Rhinolophus ferrumequinum: one gene and its partner. The protein of the gene in region 1 interacts with the protein of each later gene in a pairwise test. Links are inferred from orthologs where the notes say so. Each region holds a gene or a part of one and is shown on either strand. Other genes may lie near its edges. The genes, in order: USP54 and ATXN1L.

Region 1 (12,204 bases):
AGGCACTTAATTTCAGATACACAATGAATAATTTTTTAGTATAAATATGTCCCACAAAATGGGGCATAAAAATTAAATTAAAAAACACAGGACATTCGGTAAAATTTGAATTTCAGATATATAATGGATACTCTCATATATAAATATGTCCCATGCAATATTTGTAGCATATTTATACTAAAAAAGTGTTTGTTGTGTATCTGCGATTCAGATTTAACTGGTATCCTGTAATTTTATTTGCTAAATTTGGCAACCCTAGAAAGAATTAAGTGAATTTTTACGGTCATCTCCTTCTTCAGCCATTCTTTCATCTAAGGACCCCAGATGTGGGGACTGAAACCATCCTTGAAGATCCTACATTCCCTAGTCAGGATCCTTCAAAGAAAGAGAAGTAGGGATTGGAGAGAGGCCAGGCACAAGATGTTATAGCTGCCACGGAGAGGCTCTTCTCCTTTTCCTTTATTTCCCCTCCACCTTCCCTGGGCAGCCGGCCAGGGGAGAGTGGAAATAGCTGCCTATATGGGGCCAGGGGCAGAAGTGTCTGTCGTTGGCCCTTATGTAGCAGCAGAGTGAAGATGCTGAGCTGGTTATATCTAACTTTAGGAGACCAAAAGCCCTCCTTCCTGCCTGGGTCTGGTTACACTGGGTGGAGCACTGGGTTGTGTGTGGTGGGTGGCCAGGAGAGCCTCCTGAAGGAGTTGGCAGGGTTATTTTTAGGCCTTGGGGCTGAATCCAGTGTTGCCCTTTTGGCCACCCTTCCCCCTCCCACTACAATTTCACTGTCAAGATGTCCTGGTCCAACAAGCACCAAGAAAAGAGAGGGAGAAAAAGAGGGAGAGAGAGAAGAGTTCTGTCTGACTAGATGAGGAGGGGGAGGGGGCAGAGAGCTCTCTAGTTCTTCAAATTAAGGCTAAGTTCTCCAGGCCAAACCTATCCTCTCAAAGTTTAGTTGAGCAGAAGTCTTGGTCCTCTTTGCCTTGGTAAGGATGGGAAAGGAGAATGAGTTGCTCTCATCCTGAGGTACAATTGGAGGTACTGAGCCATTGGGGGTCTAACCCCTTAAGGAGAGTTTAATTTCTCTCAGTCAGGCTATCCTTATCCATCTATTGGAGGGGAGAATCATAGAGGATTCAGTGTCTTTTGGTTGCCATTGTCTGATCACATCCGCCTTGCTACGCATACCTGTGTCTTTGTGTATTCCCCATACCCATCCCTAACCTTCCCCTAACTCTGTCCTTTTCAGGATCACTTCCAGAAGTTCCTTCCCGCAGTGGGGGGACAGCTGGGCACAGAGGGTCAGGGATTCTCCTACAGCAAGGGCAGCAGTGGAGGCCAGGCAAGGGGAAGTGGCCCTGCTGGACAGTACGGCTCTGAACAGCAGCAGCATCAGGGCCCTGGGTCTGGATCTGAAGGTACAGGTGGTCCGGGAGGCCAGCCCGGCAGAGGAGGAGCTGCTGGCACAGCAGGGGCTGGCGATACAGGAACAGGCAAGTATCTTCACCCAAGAGTAATGTCTGGTCCCTAGAGCAGCGATATCCACAGGAAGGAGGCCTAAATTGGGTGTAGGGAGCAGGAGAGGCCTGAGATTTCTTGGTGGACTCTATGGGTCCAGGAGAATACAAACATGTATCTATTTCACCCAGAAGTCACCTTTCTGGCTTTTCAGTTTCAGCCCTAGATCCGACCCCAGGCTGTCATTATTCTGCAAACATTATACAATTATCAGGATGCTATACCTTTGGTACTTGGCTCCAGCAGCTTCCCTAGTGCAAGGGTATGAGACTAACTTCCACTGGCTACTACCTGCTATTATTTGACTTACTTTTCTCTCCCATGGCTGCCAGGAGACCAGGCAGGTGGAGGAGGAAAACATATCACTGTGTTCAAGACCTATATTTCCCCATGGGAGAAAGCCATGGGGGTTGACCCCCAGCAAAAAGTGGAACTTGGCATTGACCTGCTGGCCTATGGGGCCAAAGCTGAACTCCCCCAATACAAGTCCTTCAACAGGTAGCGGTGATGGGGGAAGGAACCAGATGCATGCGAGTGTGTGGTAACATGTCCTTCATTGGGATGGAAACTTTGGTTCAAATGTTTCAGGAGGCATGGGAGGAATATGGGGACCCTAATTGAAGGCCTTTGCTCTTTCCACTCCAGCTCAGAGAAACAGCATAGTATGATGACAGAAAATTTATTGGGAGGCAGGATTTAATTTTTAGTTCATAGGCCACTTATTAGCTGTGTGGGCATGGGAAAGTCACCCTATTTCTGAGCGTTGGTTGCCTTGACTGTAAAATGGGAGTAATATATCACACATTTAAAGGCCTCTTGAAGGCTCCCTTCTTTCAAGGTTAGGGTTCCATTACTGTTCCTGCAGTATGAGTCTAGTCCTTTATATCCTACCTTAGGGAGGTTTGAATATCTGTTCTTTTGGGCTTCTCCAGACTGTGGATAGTAGATCTGTGTGAAAATAGGATAGGGAAGTGCTAGAGAAGGGCTTTTGCATCTGGTCCTAAGGAGTCTGGATTTTCCAGGAAATGTTATTCCTCTCATTTAGGCCAGGTACTATCCACTGGAGGCAGGGTCGGGGTTCTACATTGTACTTTAAGGTAGCCTCAGACCCTTGGGTCTATAGTGTTTGGGGTCACTTTTTCTAAAATGCTGGTCTGGGCCACAGCTGCTCATGAGGCTATCTAGTACCAATTAGAGTCCTTTTCTCATTATTAGCTTTGAGGAAACAAGGAAACCAGGAAGGGGGAATGGAGTGCTATGGGAGAAAAAGAATAAGGAGAGCAGAAGCAATCTCACACTAGAATTCAGAGACTCCCCATCTTCAAAACAGAGTAACATCTTACTGATAAAGCTCTGCTCCTTTTGTTCTGGTTTTTAATGAAATAATGTGTCCCCTTTTCAGGACAGCAATGCCTTATGGTGGATATGAGAAGGCATCCAAACGAATGACCTTCCAGATGCCCAAGTTTGACCTGGGACCCCTGCTGAGCGAACCCATGGTCCTCTACAACCAGAACCTCTCCAATAGGCCTTCTTTCAATCGAACCCCTATTCCCTGGCTGAGCTCCGGGGAGCATGCAGACTACAACGTGGATATTGGCATCCCCTTGGATGGAGAAACAGAGGAGTTGTGAGGCGTTTCCTTCTCTACTTTGCATTAAGTTTCCCCTCTCTGGTTCCAATTTGGAGAGGGAAGCTGAGCAAGATACTCCCATTGTAAATCTAGTATCCTTTTGGGAATGGAGGGGAAAAAGAAGGGAGAAATCTGCCTTTCCATCCTTCGGTCTAAGTGCCCACTCCAGCATCCTTCCTCACCACCTCAGAGCTCCCCTTCCACTTTCTCTGTATGGAAACTGTTCTTTTATGGAATTTTCTCCGCCACCGGTAACAGTCAATAAACTTCAAGGAAATGAACTCATTCTTCCTCTGATATTTGAGGGCAGACGAAAACTGAGGCTAACAATGCACAGAGACTAATTAAAGTCAAATACTAGTCATTCATGATTCAAACTTCAAGACCAGACCTGAGCTCTGGTTACTTACACACCCACACCCACATCCACACCCATGAAACCACATTCATAGGTGTATACAAAGGCATTCTTATTCAACAGTAACATAAGACAAATAATCACGCACAGACACACGTACTAGTCCATATGTGGGCACAGCTAAGAAGCTATTGTGTGCTGTGGTTAGGAAGTAGGTGGTGGTGACCCTGCTGTTAGTTCTCTTTTTGTAGCTGATTAGAAATTGGGATAATCAGGATTACCCAATCATTACAGAACTAGAAATGCCATAAAGTTTCCAGATGACATCAGAGTGGGCTTAGGAATGTATGTCAAAGGTTACGGATTCCCAGAAGGATGAGATAGAATAGGGAGCCGTGTTGGAATCCAGAAGGAAGTGGGAGAAACCAGCTGTAGTAGTTATAGTAGCCCTGGCTCTGTACTAACATAGCAAGAAAAGAACTAAGGGTCATGGGGGCACTGCAGTGGTGTCCAGACAGCAATGCGATTGGGAAGAAAGCACGAGAGCCCAACAGGAATGAGTAACATTACTCTTTTTATTGATTTCAAGCATGAGGTTTCTTTAGAATCCCAGACTTACTCCTGTGTTCTACAAAATAAGAAGTGATGCAGACCAGGAAGAATAGAGATGACTCAATCGGTTCTGGGAAAATAAATTCTGAGAGCTGGCTGAAGTCAGCCAACTTCTTGAGCCATTAAAGATGATACTAATTTGCTAGACTCTGCATAGACTGATTCAATTTTCATGGACCTTGGGTCACATGATATTTATCCTGGTCACGTTCCTTTACAAATTAAATACATTGCAGGGGGTTCATAGGTTCTGTGAACTTGTACACAAAACTCTACTTCTACATGCATTTTTCTAAGTAGAGTGTTGTCATAGTTTGGATTTTCCCCCAAATAGATCCTGGAACAAAGTTTTGGATACAAGTAGTTAACAAGGAAGGTGATCCCAGAATCCAAGCAGTGCAAGGGAGAAGAAAGCCAATAAAGGTGCTTTGAGCAATTGGGGCTGAATCCCACCGGGGACTCTGGGAAAAATACTATTCAAACTGTGGTCCACGGACTGGCAGCAGCATTATCTTCTGGGAGCTTGGTTAAAAGTACAAACTCAAGAATCTGTCGCTTATTAAGCTCTCGAGGTGATTCTTATGCATTGGTAAATTTTGAGAAACACTACATCAGAATTGCCCCACTGAGGGGGGGTGGGAACTGGAATATTTAACCACCAAATCCCATCTCTCATTGGTTGTGGATTGTTACCAGGAATGTTAACTCTGCTGGCAATTCCAAAGAAAGGTGTTTGAGGTAGGAAGCTATGGGCTTGTGCAGGATCTGTCTACCAAAGTTGTAGTGAACTCTGAGGTGGGCTGAGGGAATATGGTTAGGGCACAGATAGGATCTGGATAAGGCTTCATAGCGTTCATCTGATTCCCATGTTTAAAAGTCTATGAACCCTGCCAAAAAGTTACGGACTATATTTCTTTAACAAATGTTTATTGAGTGCCTACTGTATACCAGGTACTTACTAGGTCAGGCATCAGAGGTACAAAGGCTAGTAACAACTCATGTGACAAAGAGATTTCATAGTCAATCATAAAATACTTATTAAATGCTTACTATTAAAGTTGAGATTAAAAACAAAAAGTCCAGCATCTGCTAGTCAACAGCTCTGAAAACCTAGAACTTAAGTTTTTCTAAACTCAGAATGTCTGAAATCTTAAATATAACGAAATATCATGATGCAAGCTTATTAATTTACAGGAAGCCCAGGTTGGTTGTGAAATTATTTTCTTAGTATAAAAGTCTACTTGAGAGTCAAATTATTATCAGAAGATGCAATGGTGGTTTAATGCATTAAAATGCGCACTTGCACAGGATCTAGCCAGAAATCCAGTCAGATCCTCAAGCTTTGCTATCTCTTTGCCTGGACATTTTTCTTGTGTTAAAACATCCTTTCTTCAGACCATCTTTTATTGTTACTTGCTTAGCCTCTGTAGCCATCTGAGTTAGCAACTTTAAGGGTTTCTTTTACATAAACCACATGCCTATAATACTGTGCCCCTAACCTCACCCAGATAGCTCATTCCCTCTTCTAGGGTTCAGAGCTTTGTGGTGCAATACTATAGTCACTAGACACACGTGTCTTTTAGGCTTTTAAAATGAGCCTAGTCAGAATTGAGATGCTCTGTGTATAGAAACACTGGATTTTGAAGACTTAGTATGAAAAAATATCTCATCAATAACTTAAAGATATTGATTACATCTTGAAATGGTATTTTGGGTTAAAAATTAACTAAAATTTCCTATTTCTTTCAAGAAATGTGGATACTCGATATTTTAAATTGCGTAATGCGGTTTGCAGTATATTTCTACTGGACAGCAGGGGTCTAGACTATGAGAGCTATTCAGGGGCTGTGAGGGAAGGAATAAATTCTCCATTTATTATTTCTATTCCTTTATTTGTTCCCCTCTGTTCTATTCTTCCTTGATGACCGGCGTTAAGTCTACCTTCTGTTCCAGATGTTACTCAGTCTGCATTTACAGTTGTCTGAGAGCAGAGACAGCAAGCCCTCCAACTTAAATGTTGACAGAGTCACTAAGTCACAAGGATGTGTCCACAGGGCAGCAAGCAAGTGCCAAGTTCAAACCACACGCCAATCCGGTCCCCTTCTGCATCCCAACACCTGTGCCTGATTTAAAAGACAAACTTGTGTTGCCTATTTGCGTCGGGCTAACTGACGGGGGGTGTGGCACCAGCGGAGAAACATAAACATTTCTGTGGAGTCCAATACCATTTGCAAACCACGGTAGGGGAAAAACGTATGAAAACTTCCTGAAGGAAGGTAATGAGGACACGGGAAGGTCAATTTCTGTCTTGCTTCATCCCTACTCCGCATGCAGAAGGAAAATGCCGGGAAAACGGGAACTTCAGCTAAAGGCGACACTGCTCTAAGTTGGAGGCACTTGGGCAAAGAGCAGGCCACATCCCTAGTTATTCCAGCGTGGGGTCCGCTACCCTAACATCCCCCAGCTCAGACTGCCCCGGCTGCACTAGTTTCCGACTCTCCAGCCGGCTCCACATTCTCCCTCGCTCTCGCCCACCTCTGGACCTTCCCAGGCCACCCCTGAAACGCCCTGCAGCCGCCATTTTACCCAATGCTATCGCGAGACACTCAGCCGTCGGGAGCCTGACTCATGTATGTACTTTCTTGCGAGACGTTCTCCTGGGTTGTTCTCGCGGAGGAAAGTGTCGCGAGAGCTGGTTGCCTTGGCTCCCTGTAGCTATAGCAGCCGCGGCGGTTAAGGATGCGGCGGCAAGAGCGGTGAGTGCGACACCCTCAGGGGGGCGGGGCTGGAGGGAACGGGGTGCAGGGGGAGCGCCCAGGGAGGGGGCGGGGAGGGTCGGGTCACGGGGGGAATGGGCGTGAGTGTGACGTGTAGGGGAGGACCCAGGTCTAGTGGGTATAGGGACTGGGCGCCGATCTGCACTGGGGCACGCGGGGAGGGCTGCAGCTGCTGGGAGGTCTAGGGGGAGGGACGGGGTGGAGCAGGGTTCAAGGGGCAGGGGCCAGAGTGTGGAAGTCTGTGTGTGTGTGTGTGTGTGTGTGTGTGTGTGTGTGTGTGTGTGTGTTTGTGTATGGTGGGAGGGAGAGGGTTACCGGGACTCAGAAATGGTTAAAGAGACCGGACTACATCGAGGAATAAGTGGTAAGAAATGGGGTTCAGCTAGGAGCAGGGTATGTTGAATGGGAGCAACAGAGGTTGGGCCCGGTTGCTTTGCACTGGTGGGGATGCGTGTGCGTGTGTGTCAGACCTTCGCAGCTCCCGGGGGCCCCGCCTGAGGCTAGTCCGGGACTTGAGGCGCGCCAGGACCTGCGTCCTAAAGGGCTTGGCGGGAATGGTGGCGTCCCGGACCTTCGCCTCCCGTCCCTCCCAAAGAAATCCCCCACGGACTTTGAAATATGAAAGGAGGTTCCTGGTGAGCTAGTATTAGTTGGGAAGGTTCTTTCGGTGGAGAGACTGAGTGGGATCATGAATGATTGCTGTTCTAAGATAAAGTGTGGGGTGGGAGCGGGTGAGAAATGTTTGAGAGGAAAAAACCAAACCTCAGATGTGCTTCCTCTGGAACGTATTGAGTTGGAGGAAGGGGGTGTGTGCTGAGATCACGTTTCTTGCCAGATTCATTCAATTGTAGAAATCCTTTACAGTATATTTAGGAAATTATATATGCAGTGTAAAATCAGCTTAGATAATACAGTGAAAGAACGTGCAGTACGACACTTAAACCTTCCACGAATGTAACTTACAAACTAAGAAAAGTGTTTTTATTGCAGCAGCAGCATCTGCAGATTGAACTAGGGATAGTTTTAGTTACTTGAATGTACTAGGGATAGTTTTAGTTACTTGAATGTAAAACCTAGTGTTCCCAAAGTGTGCCTGTTTAGGTTATTTGCCTTTTAAGAAATGGATTAGGTTTCATTTTAGGGGACCAAACAAGTTTTGAATATCTGTCAACCTGGAAATAAAAGGAACCCCAGGAGTTAAAATCACCGAGAGGGCAAAGCGTTTAGTCTGAGACTCAAGGACTGTTCTGGAGACCTCAGGTTTGGACTACTTTGTTTGTTAAAATCTTATTTCTAGGGAAAACAGTGGCTTCAATTCAGGCATAAAAATAATTTATCCATTTCGATCTACAGATAACAGCTTTCTGATAATTTTTCTCACTACCTTTATAAGTATAAATGTGCAAAACCACTCTTTGATTATGTAACTGGATTTTTCCATGTTGAGGTTCACAAATTCATTAATTAGAATAATGGCTTTTAAATTTTTCTAGAGCTAGCCTTGATGTGGTTAGTCTTTGAACCTATTTATCTGATATGTTTTAGACTAAAACTTTTCATTTGTAATGTTAATAGCTAAACTTTAAAGTGCTTTTTTTGAGGCAAGATTTATGTGGTAGAGTCCAAAAGATTTCTGCATGAATCCATTAACGAGCTTCACTGAGTTCCTGTTATGTGTAGAGTACTGTGTGTAAGGCATTGCAGGGGGAAAAGATTAATTAATTCATTTATCCATTCAACAAACATTTATTGAGACCTATTTTGTGTCTGATTACTAAGCTTTCAGGATACAAATACAAGTAAGCCTTGCTCTCTGCCTTGAAATTGCTCAGACCCTAGGAAAGGAGAGTAATAGAGAAACAAATAATTACAGTGTAATAAGCACACAATATATGAACACACGCTTATGAAACAAGGGTCTGTCCCTGAGCACTTTACTATGTTTATAGCATAGTAGATGACCATGCTGTATCAGTAAAACACATACTACATTTCTCAGAAGAGATGAAAGTTAGAATAGAAACTTGGGGCGAAAATTCTCGGGTAAGTTCATAATTTAATAGTTTTTTTTAGTATTCTTAAAATAAATATCACTAAGCATCTTAAGTCAATAATATAATAATAATAATAATAATAATAATAATAATGATTATAAGCACAATAGCTAACATTTGTTGGGTGATTATTAATGTTCCAGGCACATTATCTCATTTTATTTTCACAGCACCCTGCTCTTCAGCTGCTACTAATACTTCAATGTTAAAAATAAGAAAACTGAAGATTAAAAAATTAAAAAGTTGCCAAAGATTACAGAGCTGGTAAATGTCAGATTAGGGAGTTAGAAATATACATGATTGGAAAAACCTAAGCAAGATTCCTTTCTTTGCAGAAAGGGAGCCTTGGGATGTGGGGAGGAGGGCAGAGATTGAAGGTGGAATTGGACAGAAGACCAGAATTCAATCTCTATCTTTATTCATAGATTTTCCTCTATCAAATATTTACACGCATATGGGGAATGAATTTCAATATTAGCATGATGCTAAATATGAAATTTGTATTGTACAGAGAATTGAGTAAATTACCATATTCATGTTGGATATAATTGTACAGGGAGCTATGTTTGGGAAAATAGTTGTAATAAGCAGTTGTTAACATTTATAAGCTTCCAGAAAATGATCATTTTAACCCTGGAAATGGTTATCTATATTCATACCGTGTTTCCCTAAAAGTAAGACCTAGCCGGACCATCAGCTCTAACACGTCTTTTGGAGCAAAAATTAATATAAGACCCGGTCTTATGTTAGATAAGACCTGTTATAAGACTGGGTCTTATATTAATTTTTGCTCCAAAAGACGCATTAGAGCCCATGGTCTGGATTGGTCTTATTTTCGGGGAAACATGGTATATATGGCAAGTGTTAATTACAGTAGACTTTAAAGGATTAAGTCAAATATTTTTTATACTGCAATTTTTTTGTATTGAGAAAAATACATACATATTACATGTATTTATATATTTGCTTTCAGATTTTTTTAAGCTCTATATTTCAGACTCCAAAATCTGATTATCTGGTTGAAATTCAAATTTTATATCTTAGTACATGGTTTCTTTAAAAATCTGAGAAGGAAAAATATCATCAGTGTAGTATTGATACTTAGTTCTAGAGTTACTTAGTTGAATGCTTAAAAGTCAACCAGTTCAGTCCATCCTTTTATACTGAGGAAACTAAAGCCTAGAGAACTTTTAAATGACTTGCTCAAAGTCATACAGCTACAATGTCCCAGGTATTCTGATTTCAATTCAGTGTTCCTTTTACCGTACCACATTGCCAAATTATACTTAATAATTGCTATACGTTAAAGATAATTGAGAGTTTTAGATGCTCTCAGCTAATTTTAGGAAACCAGTTATATCAGGAGGCTATAGATGACAGAACAAACTAATTACTTGTTTCCCTTATACTGTATTTACACTTCTTATACTTAGGATAAATGCATTCAGATAATTTATTCAAATGCTTCCAACATTTGGTTTGTTATATCACTGTTTTCATTTTCTCTGTGTCCAGCTGTGGTGCTGGCCCATTTTAATAAATGTTTAGTGTCTTTAAAAATGGAGGTGTACAACTATGTTGTAATACACAGTATTCTTAAGAAATACATGCAGATTTGATGGTGAGTCCGTGATGCAGTTTTTTTTTCCATTGAGTTGAGTTTCTGCAGCAGCCCCTCATCTGTATAGATTTTAGATGGAATAGCATGTGGGTGTGAATGAGATCCTTGTGTTTTCTAACACCTTTTAACTAAGTGAGCCGGGTGCTTACTTTTTTTATGTGAGTTATTTTATTTTATTTTTTATTTTATTGGGGAAGGGGAACAGGACTTCATTGGGGAACAGTGTGTACTTCCAGGACTTTTTTCTTTTTTTCCAAGTCAAGTTGTTGTCCTTTTAATCCTAGTTGTGGAGGATGCTGTTCAGCTACAAGTTGTTGTCCTTTCAGTCTTAGTTGTGGAGGGCGCAGCTCAGCTCCAGGTCCAGTTGCTCTTGCTAGTTGCAGGGGGAGCAGCCCACCATCCCTTGCGGGACTCGAGGAATTGAACTGGCAACCTTGTGGTTGAGAGCCCACTGGCCCATGTGGGAATCCAACCATCAGCCTTTGGAGTTAGGAGCATGGAGCTCCAACTGCCTGAGCCACTGGGCCGGCCCTATGTGAGTTATTTTTGAGGTATTGAGACATTTTTCCAAAAAAGGTTTAGAGCAAGAGAATGAGATGAGAGGAAGAGCCCTGAGGGCTAAGAATGGAACTTCTTCTCCATGTGTGTTGAAAGCTGACACAGCAGTTTATGATATGTGAAGAAGATAATAGTCTAAAAGCTTTCTTGAACTCTTCATCCTCAGGAGAGCTTGAAGTTCTTTTCTTCTGCTTTGATACACATACCCTCTGGAAAGTTTCTATCCATTTACACTCCTACAGGGATGAGTGGGCAAAAGTATTAATTTCCTAGCGCTTAAATTAGCAACAGTAAATAGAGACTCAAGGAACAAACCAAAAACAATTTACATTGTAGGTGAAAAGTAATATCTTATTTTAAATTTCCATTTCTTTGATTGCCTTTAAAGTTGAACATTTTGTCATATTTATTATTTTTCCTGACTGGCTGTTTTGTCTTTTTAAAAGCACTTAAAATTTTTAATAAATATTTAAATTGTATACTTAAAATGCTTTAAAGAGAACAAAGAATACATTCTTTCAAAAATATAATGCCGTATCTATACAGGCTAAGGAATATAGATTCCCCTTCCAGAAATATCTTGTTTGGTGGTTTTTCTTCCAGTCCTTTTTGTATGTGTTTATACTTTATATATCTATTTATAGCTTTTTTAAATCAGTGGAATGATAATGTATTTTTTCTGCAGCTCTTTTTTTTTTTAAAAAAACTTAGCTGTATACCTTTGAGAGATCTCATCCTGTCAGTACACACTTTTTAATAGCTGATTGTATTTCGGTTTGAATTACTGTAATTTATTTAACTGTTCCTTTATCCATGGACATTTAAGTTGTCCCAGATTTTTGCAATTACCAACAACACTAAAATGAAAATCCCTTATTGTCTCTTGTGCACATGTTCTAGACTGCCTCTAGAGTAGGTGCCTAGAATTGTTGCTTAAAAGGTATGCGTGCTTTCAGTTTTGAAAGATACTGCCAATCTGCCCTTTATATAGTCTGTACCATTCTGCATTCCACCAGCAGTTTATGAAAGTGCCTATATCTTTACATACTTGCCAACACTTGATGTTGTCAATCTTGTAC
Region 2 (11,578 bases), on another chromosome or scaffold:
TACCACTGGCACCAGTCCCTGGCCTTCACCCTTGCTGTTGGGGGAGTCGAGGGCTTCGCTTTCTCGTCTTACTAAATTTCGCTCTCGCTGTCTCTGTCCGTTGGCAGCAGCTGCTTCCAGAGCAGACTGGCCCTCCTGAGGAGTAAGAACTGGGCTGGCACCTGCTGGAGGGGTTTCATGCAAGGTGTACCCAGCAGGTAGCCTGGACATCTGATAATAAATGGGCATCCGTCCTGGAGCGAGGTCCAATGGCTGAGTACTCGAGTGATGTGACAACTGCCCAGGTGAGGTGGTGGCAGAGGGGGCTTTGTTGAATGAGTGAGCCGGGGATGAAGACTGCGGGGGAGGAGTGGCTCCTTCTGCCAGGAGCGAGGCATATGGCACAAAGTGTGGAAGGTGAGAGGTGGCGAGGTTGGCAGAAGGGGAAAGAAGGGGACTCGGTAGGAAATTAGGTGGCACAGCATAGGGAAGGCTGTAAGGAGACCCGATAAACTGCAGAGAGGTGGATGGGAGCTGAGCATAGTGGATTGGGGGATAGTGGATTCCTGGATGTTGAATCAGTGAAGACGCTACATTAAACGTGGGGGGCAAGGGGCTCATGTTCACCACGGATGGGAGGCCAGTTGGGGAGAAGGTGGCAGGTGGCACAGCCACCTTATACAGCATGCCATATTGGTCCACTGTCAGACCAGTGATGGCCTCAGCGCCATCAGCCCCTAGGCTGACTCTGGTTCCTGCCTGGCTCTGCCCAGCCACCACAACCCCTCGGGACCATTCAGAGGCATCACTGGAGGGTGTGTGGTTAGTTGAGCAGCTGGTAGTTCTCCCCATATCCTCGCTGGTCACGGGGAGGTCTCGTTTCTTTGGTGGAAGGCATTCCTGACTCCTCTCATGAACAGGTTTCATATTGCTTTGCAGTGTTCCTGGAGCCTGGAAGGGGTCGGCTTGCTCCTTGGGGCATCAGAAGGGGCTTCTCTGTGGCTCCCCTGCACCCCTCTCTGTTGCTGGCTGGGGTGCCCACATCTGCTAGGGAACAAATCAGAGGCAAAGAAAAGTAACCTAGGGGTGAACTAAGTCAAAGGAAATAGCACAACTGTGCCCATGAAGGAAGATGTAACAAAGGGGACTGCTGGGGCAAAAAGAGGTACGAGAGAGGGGCAGACCAGGACGCTCCCCTCCTCACTCAGGCAGCCTCGACATGAAAGAAACAAACAGTCACAAAGAGCTACAAGGAGAAGCATAAATAACCCTAGAGAAACCAACAGCTTCATGATTAGCTGTGCCTCAGATGGGGAGCTTGACTGTTCTCAGCCTTTTCCCCTAACGGGAATTTGAACACAGGGTCTTTGCTGCTGACTCTTTTTTCTAAGTTTCTCCTTTTGCCACCAAAGACTCCTGTGCTATCTTCTTTCCTGAACATAAGACCTCATCTTCACTTCCTTTTCCCAGACCAATGTGAGTTATGATCTCACCTATCCCTAGCTCCCTGCACCTCGGGCCTGGTTAAACTCTTGTCGTCTTCTGCCTCATATCGCCACCACCTCAAGGACCCAGGTGTCGATAAGTCCTCAGGTCTGCTTGTGTCTTGTTTTTTTAAACTTTGATCCCTAAAAGTATCATGAACATTAGCATCTTCTTTGCCCCATAAAATACTACATTCAAACTTGGGCTCTGTGGGGAGAGTGATTGTACGACCAAGTTCTACAATTTATTTGTTTCTCCTTGTCCCCAAAAAGCAACAAAATTCTTCTGACCTCATAAAGACTTCTTGCTCCCTAATCTGGCAAGACTTCTTTTCTTCTCAGAGACCACCCACAATTTGCCTTCTTCATTCATTCCCTTTCTTTTTTCCTTTGTGTTTTGTCAATGGCTCCTACTCCATCGTAGGTCTGCTCTAGGCCCCACTTCCTAAAATTCTGATTCCATTCCTCCAAGCACTCCTGTTTATTACTATCTTAGGTCTGTATGATTCCTAAGAAAGTTCTCTCTCCCCTTTCTCTTGTTGTCACCTTTCGTACATGCTTTTGTCCATTGTCATAAAGTATCTTTTTGTCTGAACACTTCAGTGCATATGAACTTTGTCACCTATTTCTTCCAATCAGGCTCCAGTTCTTTAGATCTGAAAAGAGATTTCTACATTATACTCTGCTCTGTTTTTCCACAGTTGAATCCCAGATGTATTTCTGCAACAAGGTATCTAAAGCACCTGTATTACCTGAGCTTCCAGTACCGCTTCTGAGCAGCTGTAGTAAGAAGCAGTGTCCTCCCCGCTGGTGTGGGAACCTAGAAGACAGACATAGGGATAAAGTAAGTAGGAGCCTAGTCTCTGACCATCTCTGACCATCAAAAAAGGTAACTCCAGGCCAGCACGGTGGCTCAGGTGGCTGGAGCGCCCTGCTCCTAACACCGAGGTCACCGGTTCGATTCCCACATGGGCCAGTGAGCTGCACCCTCTACAGCTAAGATTGTGAACAACAGCTCTCCCTAGAGCTGGCCTGCCATGACACGGCAGCCAGAGGTTGGCGTCAGCTGCCGTAGGATGCTGTGTGCTGCCACAGGCTGCCGTGTGCTGCCATGGGCTACTGTGCGCTGCCATGAGCGGCAGGTAGCCAGCGTGAGCTGCCATGAGTTGCTGTGAGTGGCCGGCCTACGACTGGCGACCAACTGCCTCAGCCGGGAGAGCGCAAGGCTTCTAATACCAGCATGGGCCAGGGAGCTGTGTCCTACACAACTAGACTGAGAAACAACGGCTTGAACTGGAGTAGGGGCGGGGGGCGGGGGGGAAGGGAGCGAGGCGGAAGAAAGGGGGGGGGGAAGATAACTACAAAGCTACAAAGATACTAAACTCCATGAGTCCCTTCCTCTTCTACTACAAGCACAACATCACATTACAGAAAAAGCGATCTCTTAAGCTTTAATTTGTAGGAGGACATCCCTGGAAAAAGTTTTCCATGTCAAACTTCATTGTTTTCCTTAACATCATGTTCTTCATTGACATGTTCTTCACCTGTTAAATTTTCCCAAAGGTTAAATTTATTCCCCAAAGGTTACATTTACTTCCCATCCCAATTCCAGGTAACTGCACAAATAAAAATGGAAGACTCAACATTGTTCCCATGTGAACAACAGGAACCAGGAAAAACCAACTTCACAGCTTTCACTTTTATTCAAGGCTGATGAAAACATAGTTGTGGAGGTTATTTAAATGAGAAAAGCGGCACTAGAGAAAAAAGAACAATTATTTATGTTTCTGGGGCAGAAAAAGAGGTCAAGGGGGAGCCACTCAAGGGGAAGCCTTATTAACAGATTTTTCAGGGTAAAAAAATGGTCTCCTGGGTATGTGTAAAATCTTCTGAGTGACAACTTGGTACCAAGTGCTGAATCAGTTGTGACAGAAACTAAAACATTGCCTGGGTCCTCACTTAGCTAACAATGGGGAAACAAAACTCACACTAAACTGTCAATATCTAAGTCTGCACATGCCAGACACATCAAGCACTGAAGAATGGAGCCCTAATCTCTGAAAACAGAAATAGTACTGAGTACTCCGAGAAACTACCCACTGTCCTGTCCAAGTTCTACAGACCACACTGCAAGCCTCAAACCAAGCTGAAGACAACTTTTACCTCTTACAAGTACTGGCAAGGATGTACACAAAAAGGTGATGAAATAGGAAAACAAAGTGGAAAGACAAATTCTTAGCTCCATGAACACAAATGACACAATGGGCACAAGTCGTGCATCCCTTCTTTGTCGGCAGTTCCAGTAACTGAAAAGCAGTTAGCTTTTAGCTTTCTCCTTCATTCCTAACAAAAACTGGGGTCATGTCTTCAACCCCAGCATCATCCTTGCTCCCTGCAGCTAAAACATTAAAGAAAACCTGCCTCTAGGTCACTGAGGGGTTAGCCAAATACAGGTTAATAGAAGGAATAAAAGAGCCAAGAGGTCTGCAGGAATGACAACAGAGACAAGCCTATGGACCAGGCTTGTGCACCACGCAAAACATATTTCGGAATGTGAAACCCCGGCCTCTGGAGGGGCTCAATGAGGATTTCTCAAGGGGAAGACGTAGCTTGTGACCCCAACCGAGCTAACGGGGAAGAAGGACTGTTCCAGAGAGTTGCCAACCCTGCCAGCAGAGCCAAGGAGTCGAGAGACCAGAATTCGCTGAGGGCGAGAGGTGCGCCCGCCAGAAAGGGGAGCTTGGAAGATACTAGAGGTTATGGCTTCCCCAGTGATCCCGCAATCCTTGCTCCAAAAAGCGTAAGGTCCGAAACTGGGAATTCAAGGTTTAGAGAGTGGGGGTCGACCCTTCAAGCAGAGGGGCAGGGGCCAGCAGGTGATGCTTCCTTGTTTGGGGGCCCCTTCCCGCCCCAAGGACTCAGATACCCCGGCCGGTAGGGACACAGCCACGGGGGCGCCGGAGCCTGAGGCAGCTTTCTGGGCTGGGTCGGAGGGAAGTGAGCCGGGTCTAGGCGCGGCCTCTTTCGCTCCATCGGTCCGCGGTTCTCGGGCCGCGGTTCTACCGGGCAGCGGGCTCCGTAGGGCCACTTCCTCCGGAGCTCCGAGCCCAGGCCTGCTTGGCCCCAGTGAGACCGGCCCGGCAGACCTCACTCCCGGCGACACTCACCGGCCCATCTCACGACGCTCTTTGGGCTCCTCCCGCTCGTCCCGGAGCCGCCGCAACTGCGGCCGCCGCCATCCCCGGCCCCGGAGCCGCCCCACACCCAGCGCCCCCCCCAGACGGGCGCCCGGAGATGGCGTCAGCGCGTCCCGCCCCCGGCGCAGAGAGATTGCGTCACGCCTGGGACTGAGAGCGACGCCTAGGAGTACCCCGGAGGGGAGGGGGCTGGCCGCCAGCGCTTCGTCCCCAGTGCGTCGTCCCCAGCGCCCTCTCTGGTGAGAAAACGAACTCCTTCTCCTGGACCTGAGTCACGTGAATCCAGGGCTGGGCCAGAGCTCCCACACCTTGACCCCACAATGACCCCTCAATCTTTCTACTCCCGTAAATTCTAGGGGTTCCCAGGCAGATCCCTGGGTCGTAGCCATTAGCGACCCTCATTTCCTGGACTTCCCGGGCCTGATTTGTGAAGACTCTTCTGGGGAACCTTAGAGAACCTCGAGGTGACCTGGGCACAGGAGAGTAAGGAGATCCCTCTGGAGATTCAGGGGACAGATGGGAGTTCTTTAAGAGTTGAGAAATGGCTCTGAAGGGGATGAGAGTGGACCGGACCCCAGGATCTAGGGGAAGGTGAAGCAAGTAGTGGGAGACTTGAAAGTCTGTAAGGAATGAGAGGAAGAGGTTTAGTACAATGGGAAGCAGCTTAGTTTAGTGGGAAGAGGACTTTACTACTGGATGAAATATTAGGTCACCATTCGTTGAAGATTAACCAGTCAACTCTATAGAAACATGAACTTCTGATTAACTTAACTGAAAAAATGAACAGTTAAATTTGTGCTTTGATTACAACTGTGTAAAATATAATAGTTCTGCACACAGACAAAACTAACTAAACAGAAAAATAAGTTTAGGGCCGGCCCGGTAGCTCAGGTGGTTGGAGGGCCCTAACGCTAAGGTTGCTGGTTTGATTCCCAAGTGGGCCTGTGAGCTGTGCCCACTACAGCTAAGACTGTGAACAACAGCTCTTTCTGGAGCTGAGCTGCCGTGGACTACCGTGTGCCGCCATGAGCAGCTGGTGGCCAGCGTGAGTGGCGTGGCAGCCAGCATGAGTGGCCCGCAGCCATTGTGAGTGGCTGGCAGCTGCTGAGAGCTGCCATGAGCTGCTGTGAGTGGCCGATCAATGACTGGCGAAGGACTGCCTCAGCCTGGGGTGAGCGCAAGGCTCATAATACCAGCATGGGCCAGGGAGCTGTGTCCTACACAAATAGACTGAGAAACAATGGCTTGAAGTGGAGGGAGGGGGGCGCCAGAGGGGCGGGGAGTTTAACTATTGGAGAGATTGAATTCTGAGTGGATTTTTTTCATTTCAGTTTCTGCAAATTCTGTTCAATAAATAATTACTTTTTGTTTGATTTTAAAAGTACTGGCCCGGCTCTGGTCCCTATGCTGTAGCTATCTGGCCTTAGTAAAGTCATTTTACTACTTTAGATATGGGTTTCCACTTCTGCAAAATGAGGAGCTTGAACTAAATGAAAGCGTGGGGGTAAAATGTAGATAGAAGAGCTCTCTAAACATTTTAAGTGAAAAAATAAGCAAATATGTACAGTGCAGTATGTATTTAATGTTAAAGGACATATAATTTATAGTTGCATATAGAGAGGGTGCCAAAAAAATGTATACACATTTTAAGACAGGAAAAAACTTAAAATTGTAATAATATATACCGATTACAAAAGATGAATACAAGTTTGACTTCTGCAATTACAAGAGCTGCTCAAAGTGGTTGCAATCAGCATCCAGACACTTCTGATTACGGTGAATTACTGCTTGAGCAACGTTGACGAAAGTGTCCACTTGTATACTTTTTTTTGGCACCCCTGGTATTTATGTATCTGTACAGAAAAGGAACGGAAAGGTATGTAACAACTAGTTAACACTGGTTATCTTGGGAGTGGAAAGTGGAATTGGGTGATGGCCAAGAGGAACAAAAGGGACTTATTTTACTGTTTGGATTTTTTATGAGAATATTACCTTAGAGATAGTAAAATGAGTAAGTAAGTAAGATATTAAAATACAAATAAAGTATATGACCTCTAAGATTATTTCGAGGGAATCCTTAGGCCTCAATCTTCATATTTTTTCACCTGAATGAGCACAAAGGATCATCAAAATTATTGAACTACACACACACACACACACACACACACACTCACAACCACACACACACACACACACACTTCTTCCACCAGTGGGTAAAACATAGCGAAGCTACTGATCTGTAACCATCTAAATCAGGCTTTGCTTCTTGAATATTTATTCATGACAGAGAATTATTCTTTCTCTCTGTTTGGCCAACAAGGAAGTCCTGTGGTGATTCTGTTTTAGTGCTAACTGGCATTCTGGTTTCTAGTTCCTTGCTTAGCTCACTAAATTGCTATTAAAACTGCAAAAAAAGAAAGAGATCCTTGGACCATCCAAATGTATTCAAGGATAGCTAATTTTCCCAGATCAGGATATGTACTCAGGGAACTGCTCTTCAGACAAAGAACAGACAAAGGTTGATGCAAGCAAAACCTCTTTTTGACTACCTGCATTATTACGCAATGCAAAGGTGTGTCTGAAAAACACAGGTGATTTCCTGGTTTGATGCTGCAGTCCCCAAAGGGCGGGTCATATCTCTGCTGTATACCCTGTTTTAGAAATCTTTACTCCAAACAATCCCGATTTCTTTGGTCATAGTACATATTGATAGTATGAAGCTCCCTAGTGTCAGTTTGACAGAAATGGTAGTGATAAGTAAGCTAATGTAGCTTTTAGATTTAACACACTAAAATAACCAAAAGTTACCTTATTTCCCTAAATATCTATATTATTCTCTGTTATCTGGATAATCATTTATTTATATTAAGTGAACCTGGCATCTAAAACACTAACTGACTCAGTAAATAATTGTTGAATGAAATTTCACAAAGATATCCCACAGTAGGAGACTGTCCTTGCTAATTCTTTTGCTCCCACTTCCTCATTTCTACTTATCTAGTTAACCTATTTGCTATCTGTTTTCAATCTCATATGAAAGTCCTTCATTTTATTTCACTGAGTTGGTTTTTTTTCCACAGAGTTTAAAGAACTGATGAAGTGAAAGGAGATTTTTAAAGGTATTTGGGACGTTCGGGCACTGAAGAGTTAAACGTCAATCTGTTTTGTCCACCTCTTCTATTTCCCTGGATTCCTATTGAATTCCTTTGATGTGAGTAGATTGAATTTGTGTGATGGGAGAGCTTGAGCTACTCTGTTGGTAGAAAAACAACAAAACCCCACCATGCTGGTTATTCTTCTCCCTCAGCAGGCAGGAGTTTCACACCATCTCTCTGGGTCTCCTAGTTCCTCCTTTGGTGATTTTTTTCTAGATTTGTAATACAGGCAGAGGAAACTCAGACAACTATCCCAATTCTTTTTGACATTAAGGAATCAAACTTGAACTTGTAACTTGGCAAACTATGTGTGTCATAACAATAGGAGGAGGTGGCATTTTTCATATTGTCATGTCTTCCTGCTTGTACGCTTCAGCATGTAAAGGTGCGATTTTAGGAAAAGAATTTCATCTTTGAATGCCAGTGATTGAAAACAAAAACTAACTTCAAGCAACATAGAAATTACCAAAATACTTACTGGATTTTACTTTCCCTAAAAACATGTTGATGTTTGATATTAGATTATTTTTCAAAAGCTTTTCTAGAGGTCCCAGTGTCGAAATGTGTGACTTTTAAGCTCGTGTTTTATCTTCTCTGAACAATTCTATGTCCTCATTTCTACAGGCTTTTAATGTTATGTGATCTCTTCCAATGGGGATTTCCCTTTCAAATTCATTAATATTTTATTTAGAAGGAAGTTTTATAATGTCTCCATAAGTGACTAATATGTCCTTAGGGGAGGGGAATCTCCCTCCGTTGCCTGCTTCCTCTGGCATTTGCCAAAGAATTTCATGTTTGTCAGAAACTTCCTGCAGAACTCTCAAAAGTTTCTGTAAAAACACTGATGACTGGAATAAACTGGAGGAAACCTAACCCTTCTTTGAATTGCAAGAGTCATATCTGGGTTCACAGAGAAGCCAGTGCATCCAGGCCATTAGTGAGCAATTAGGAATTCATCACATGGGGCTTGTTGAATGAATAAAGTGGATGCTGAAAAACTGGAGCCCTCATGACACTGATAACTTTCTCTTTCTCTGGGAAACTTGCTCATCAGGTGATTTATGAGTGTTGTACCTTCTGGTGATATTATGTTCAGCTCTGTTTGCAAAACTGATCACCTTTGCCTTCCAGTCAATTTGCAACTGGTTGTCAATCACCTAAAACTCTTGGAAAGAAGTAAAAGTGAATAATAACTCCAGGCAGCCCAGATCCTAAGCAATCTACACCCCGACTGCCCCCCACCCCCTACCCTCCTCACCCACCCAGTGGTATATCTCCTAAGACCTTACTTACCAGCTTTGGAATTTAAAATAATGTTTATGACTGGTGGGAATGTGGGAATGATTATTATAGTGATCAAATCATTTAAAAATTTCCAAAGACGGTTCTGTATCTTGACTGTATCAATATCAATATCTTGGTTTTGCAAGATGTTACCATTGGGGAGAACTGAGTAAAAGTATACTTTGGATCTTTCTGTATTACTTCTCATAAATTGCATGTGACTCTACAATGACCTCAAAATAAAAAGTTTAATTTTAAAAAGTTCCCAAAGGCTTAAATGTAAAAGAATGTTCAGATTACTGGACTTCTCTCTCCACCAAGGCAGAGCACTTTATCTAGTCAAGCTTTTTCACATGTGCAGTAACTATTAAGTTTTAGCTGCCATGCAAATTTTTCTGGAAGGGCTTCCTTACCCTTTTTCAAACACACCAAAAGAAAAAAAAAAAAGCCATTTCTTCTATCAGGTCACAGCTCAAGTAGTACTAAACTCATGAGTAGAGGTAGTAGCTGACATGTTTTCTTTAAGTCCAACTTATTTTCTGTTGACTTTTGCTCTTTCCTCTTTGCAGTGGATCACATAAGTGAATAACCCTTGATAAACTGCAAAACTGATGATCTCTGATTATGAGGATGGTTCAGGTGAAATAAGTATTGCACATAAATACAGTTTTCTGAGTGCTCCGTAAATAGCACTATTTACTATTGAATTTTACTATAGTCTGTTGATAGAGGGAAAGCTGTTAGTCAAACTTCTAAACTGATTTTTGGGCATTGTTTAGCCAAATCTTGCAGAGGGTGTTTGGGCATTACTTAGATAGTAGGGGCCTAAGGAAAACCCAAAGTAAATCAAATTTAGGCAAAGGCAGTGGTACCCATTTTGTTACCATGAACAACGGGGATGACGTTGATGGCATACACAGAACTTGTGAATTTTAAACTGCACGTCCACATATTCTTTTATTTGATCCTGATAATCCATGATCTATATTATTATCCAGAAATATTTTATCCTCTTCTTACAAATGAAGAAATTTAAATACGGAGTGCCCAAGTGATTTTAGATAAATAAAGCAAATTCGCGCTGTCTTACCTAAATTGATTCCTTTTTAAAAGGAGATAATAGTCTTGATCTTCCAGGGTTCTATTTGTAACACAAACTGTTAACCTAGATAAACAATAAATGTTTGTCGGTATTAGTATTGGTGTAACGACAGTTTAGCATTTGTCTAAAACAAGTCCAGTTCTATTGTGATTTCTTTTCCCCGCAATGTCTTAGGCAAAGAACATTTTCCTACTTTGGACTTGGCTAAGCAACCTTCCAAGCACTGAGCTTTGTGTATATTTCAGGTTCAAATGTAGTCTTATGTCAAGATTTGTATGCAATGGCAGAGGAACTCTGTCTATTCTCTATTAGGTGATGAACATCACTTTTGTTTCACAGCAGACAGACAGGGTGTATAATTTGGAGGCTCAGGTTTTCCATACTTATGAAAAGCCTATTTCCTCATGCTCAGTCATCAGTTGGTAACTCAGGATAGTAAGACTTATGGCAGTGCATAACAACCAGGGCAGGTTGCATTTGTTACCTTTCCAACATGACTCTATTTGTTCATTTTATGACATGATGTGGTGAAAAAGCGTAGGAATTTACAGTCTGAAGATTTGGCCTTGAGTTCCAATTCAACCTGTTACTCCTAATCACGTGATCGTGGGAAGCCATTTAACTTCTCAGTTTCAAGTTTCTCAGCTGTAAAATGCAAATATTAAGGTTTGTAATAACATACAAACCTCACATAGGTGGTATGGGGCTCATACCAAACTATAAATGAAAACATTTTCTAAAGTACAAATCACAATATGCATGCTCCTCTTTTAAATAACTAATCCTTTTACTACAAAAATAATAAATGTTCACTATGGACCATTTGAGAAATAAAGTTAAGCTGAAAGAATAAAATAAAGATCACCTATACAAGCACCCCACAGTGCAGTGGTTTTCAACCGGTAACAGGTGTCAGAATCTGAAGGGGTTGTTCAAATATAGATTCCTGGGCTCTACTTCCAGAGTTTCCAATTCAGTATTTCTGGGGTGGGCCCAAGAATCTTCATTTCTAACAAGTTCCCAGAGGAAGCTGGTGTTGCTGATCTGGCTGAGTAGTTGTTTCAGGCCAGTGGACATTCTCATCATTCAGGACATCCATTCTAATTGGACAGCGCCTTGCTGTACTGGTTATTGAGTATGTCGACTGTCACCTCTGACATAATTCAAATATTTACCATAAAATCAGAATTCGTGATTCAATATGTTTCTTCTTATGCTTATTTTCTTCCTCTTATTCTCCTTGGTTTGAGGTTCCTTCACCCCAGGATAGGGCTGTCTTATGACAAAGAGGGCCCCTCCTTGTTACTAAATTACATATCTTTTAAAAATCACACATCTTAAATAACAGTGATTAGAAACATAAAAAACAATAATTCA

What was found.
Region 2: the proteins of USP54 (region 1) and ATXN1L interact in binary tests that used the Homo sapiens proteins (3 or more experiments, as listed by UniProt). The link is inferred for Rhinolophus ferrumequinum from reciprocal best matches to the Homo sapiens genes USP54 and ATXN1L.

Annotation. Positions count from the first base shown.
Region 1 is NC_046299.1:51,092,869-51,105,072, reverse strand, and holds the start of USP54 (inactive ubiquitin carboxyl-terminal hydrolase 54), read left to right. Parts: upstream 1-6,781; 5' UTR 6,782-6,871; intron 6,872-7,141; exon of another isoform or gene 7,142-7,256; intron 7,257-7,937; exon of another isoform or gene 7,938-8,152; intron 8,153-12,204. Other genes in the region: MYOZ1 (myozenin-1), read left to right, coding at 1,244-1,487, 1,845-2,010, 2,915-3,146.
Region 2 is NC_046298.1:20,858,574-20,870,151, forward strand, and holds the start of ATXN1L (ataxin-1-like), read right to left. Parts: upstream 4,750-11,578; 5' UTR 4,631-4,749; intron 2,284-4,630; 5' UTR 2,216-2,283; intron 2,120-2,215; 5' UTR 2,019-2,119; exon of another isoform or gene 1,041-2,018; intron 1,027-1,040; exon of another isoform or gene 1,024-1,026; 5' UTR 907-1,023; coding exon 1-906. UniProt on the Homo sapiens protein: Chromatin-binding factor that repress Notch signaling in the absence of Notch intracellular domain by acting as a CBF1 corepressor. Binds to the HEY promoter and might assist, along with NCOR2, RBPJ-mediated repression.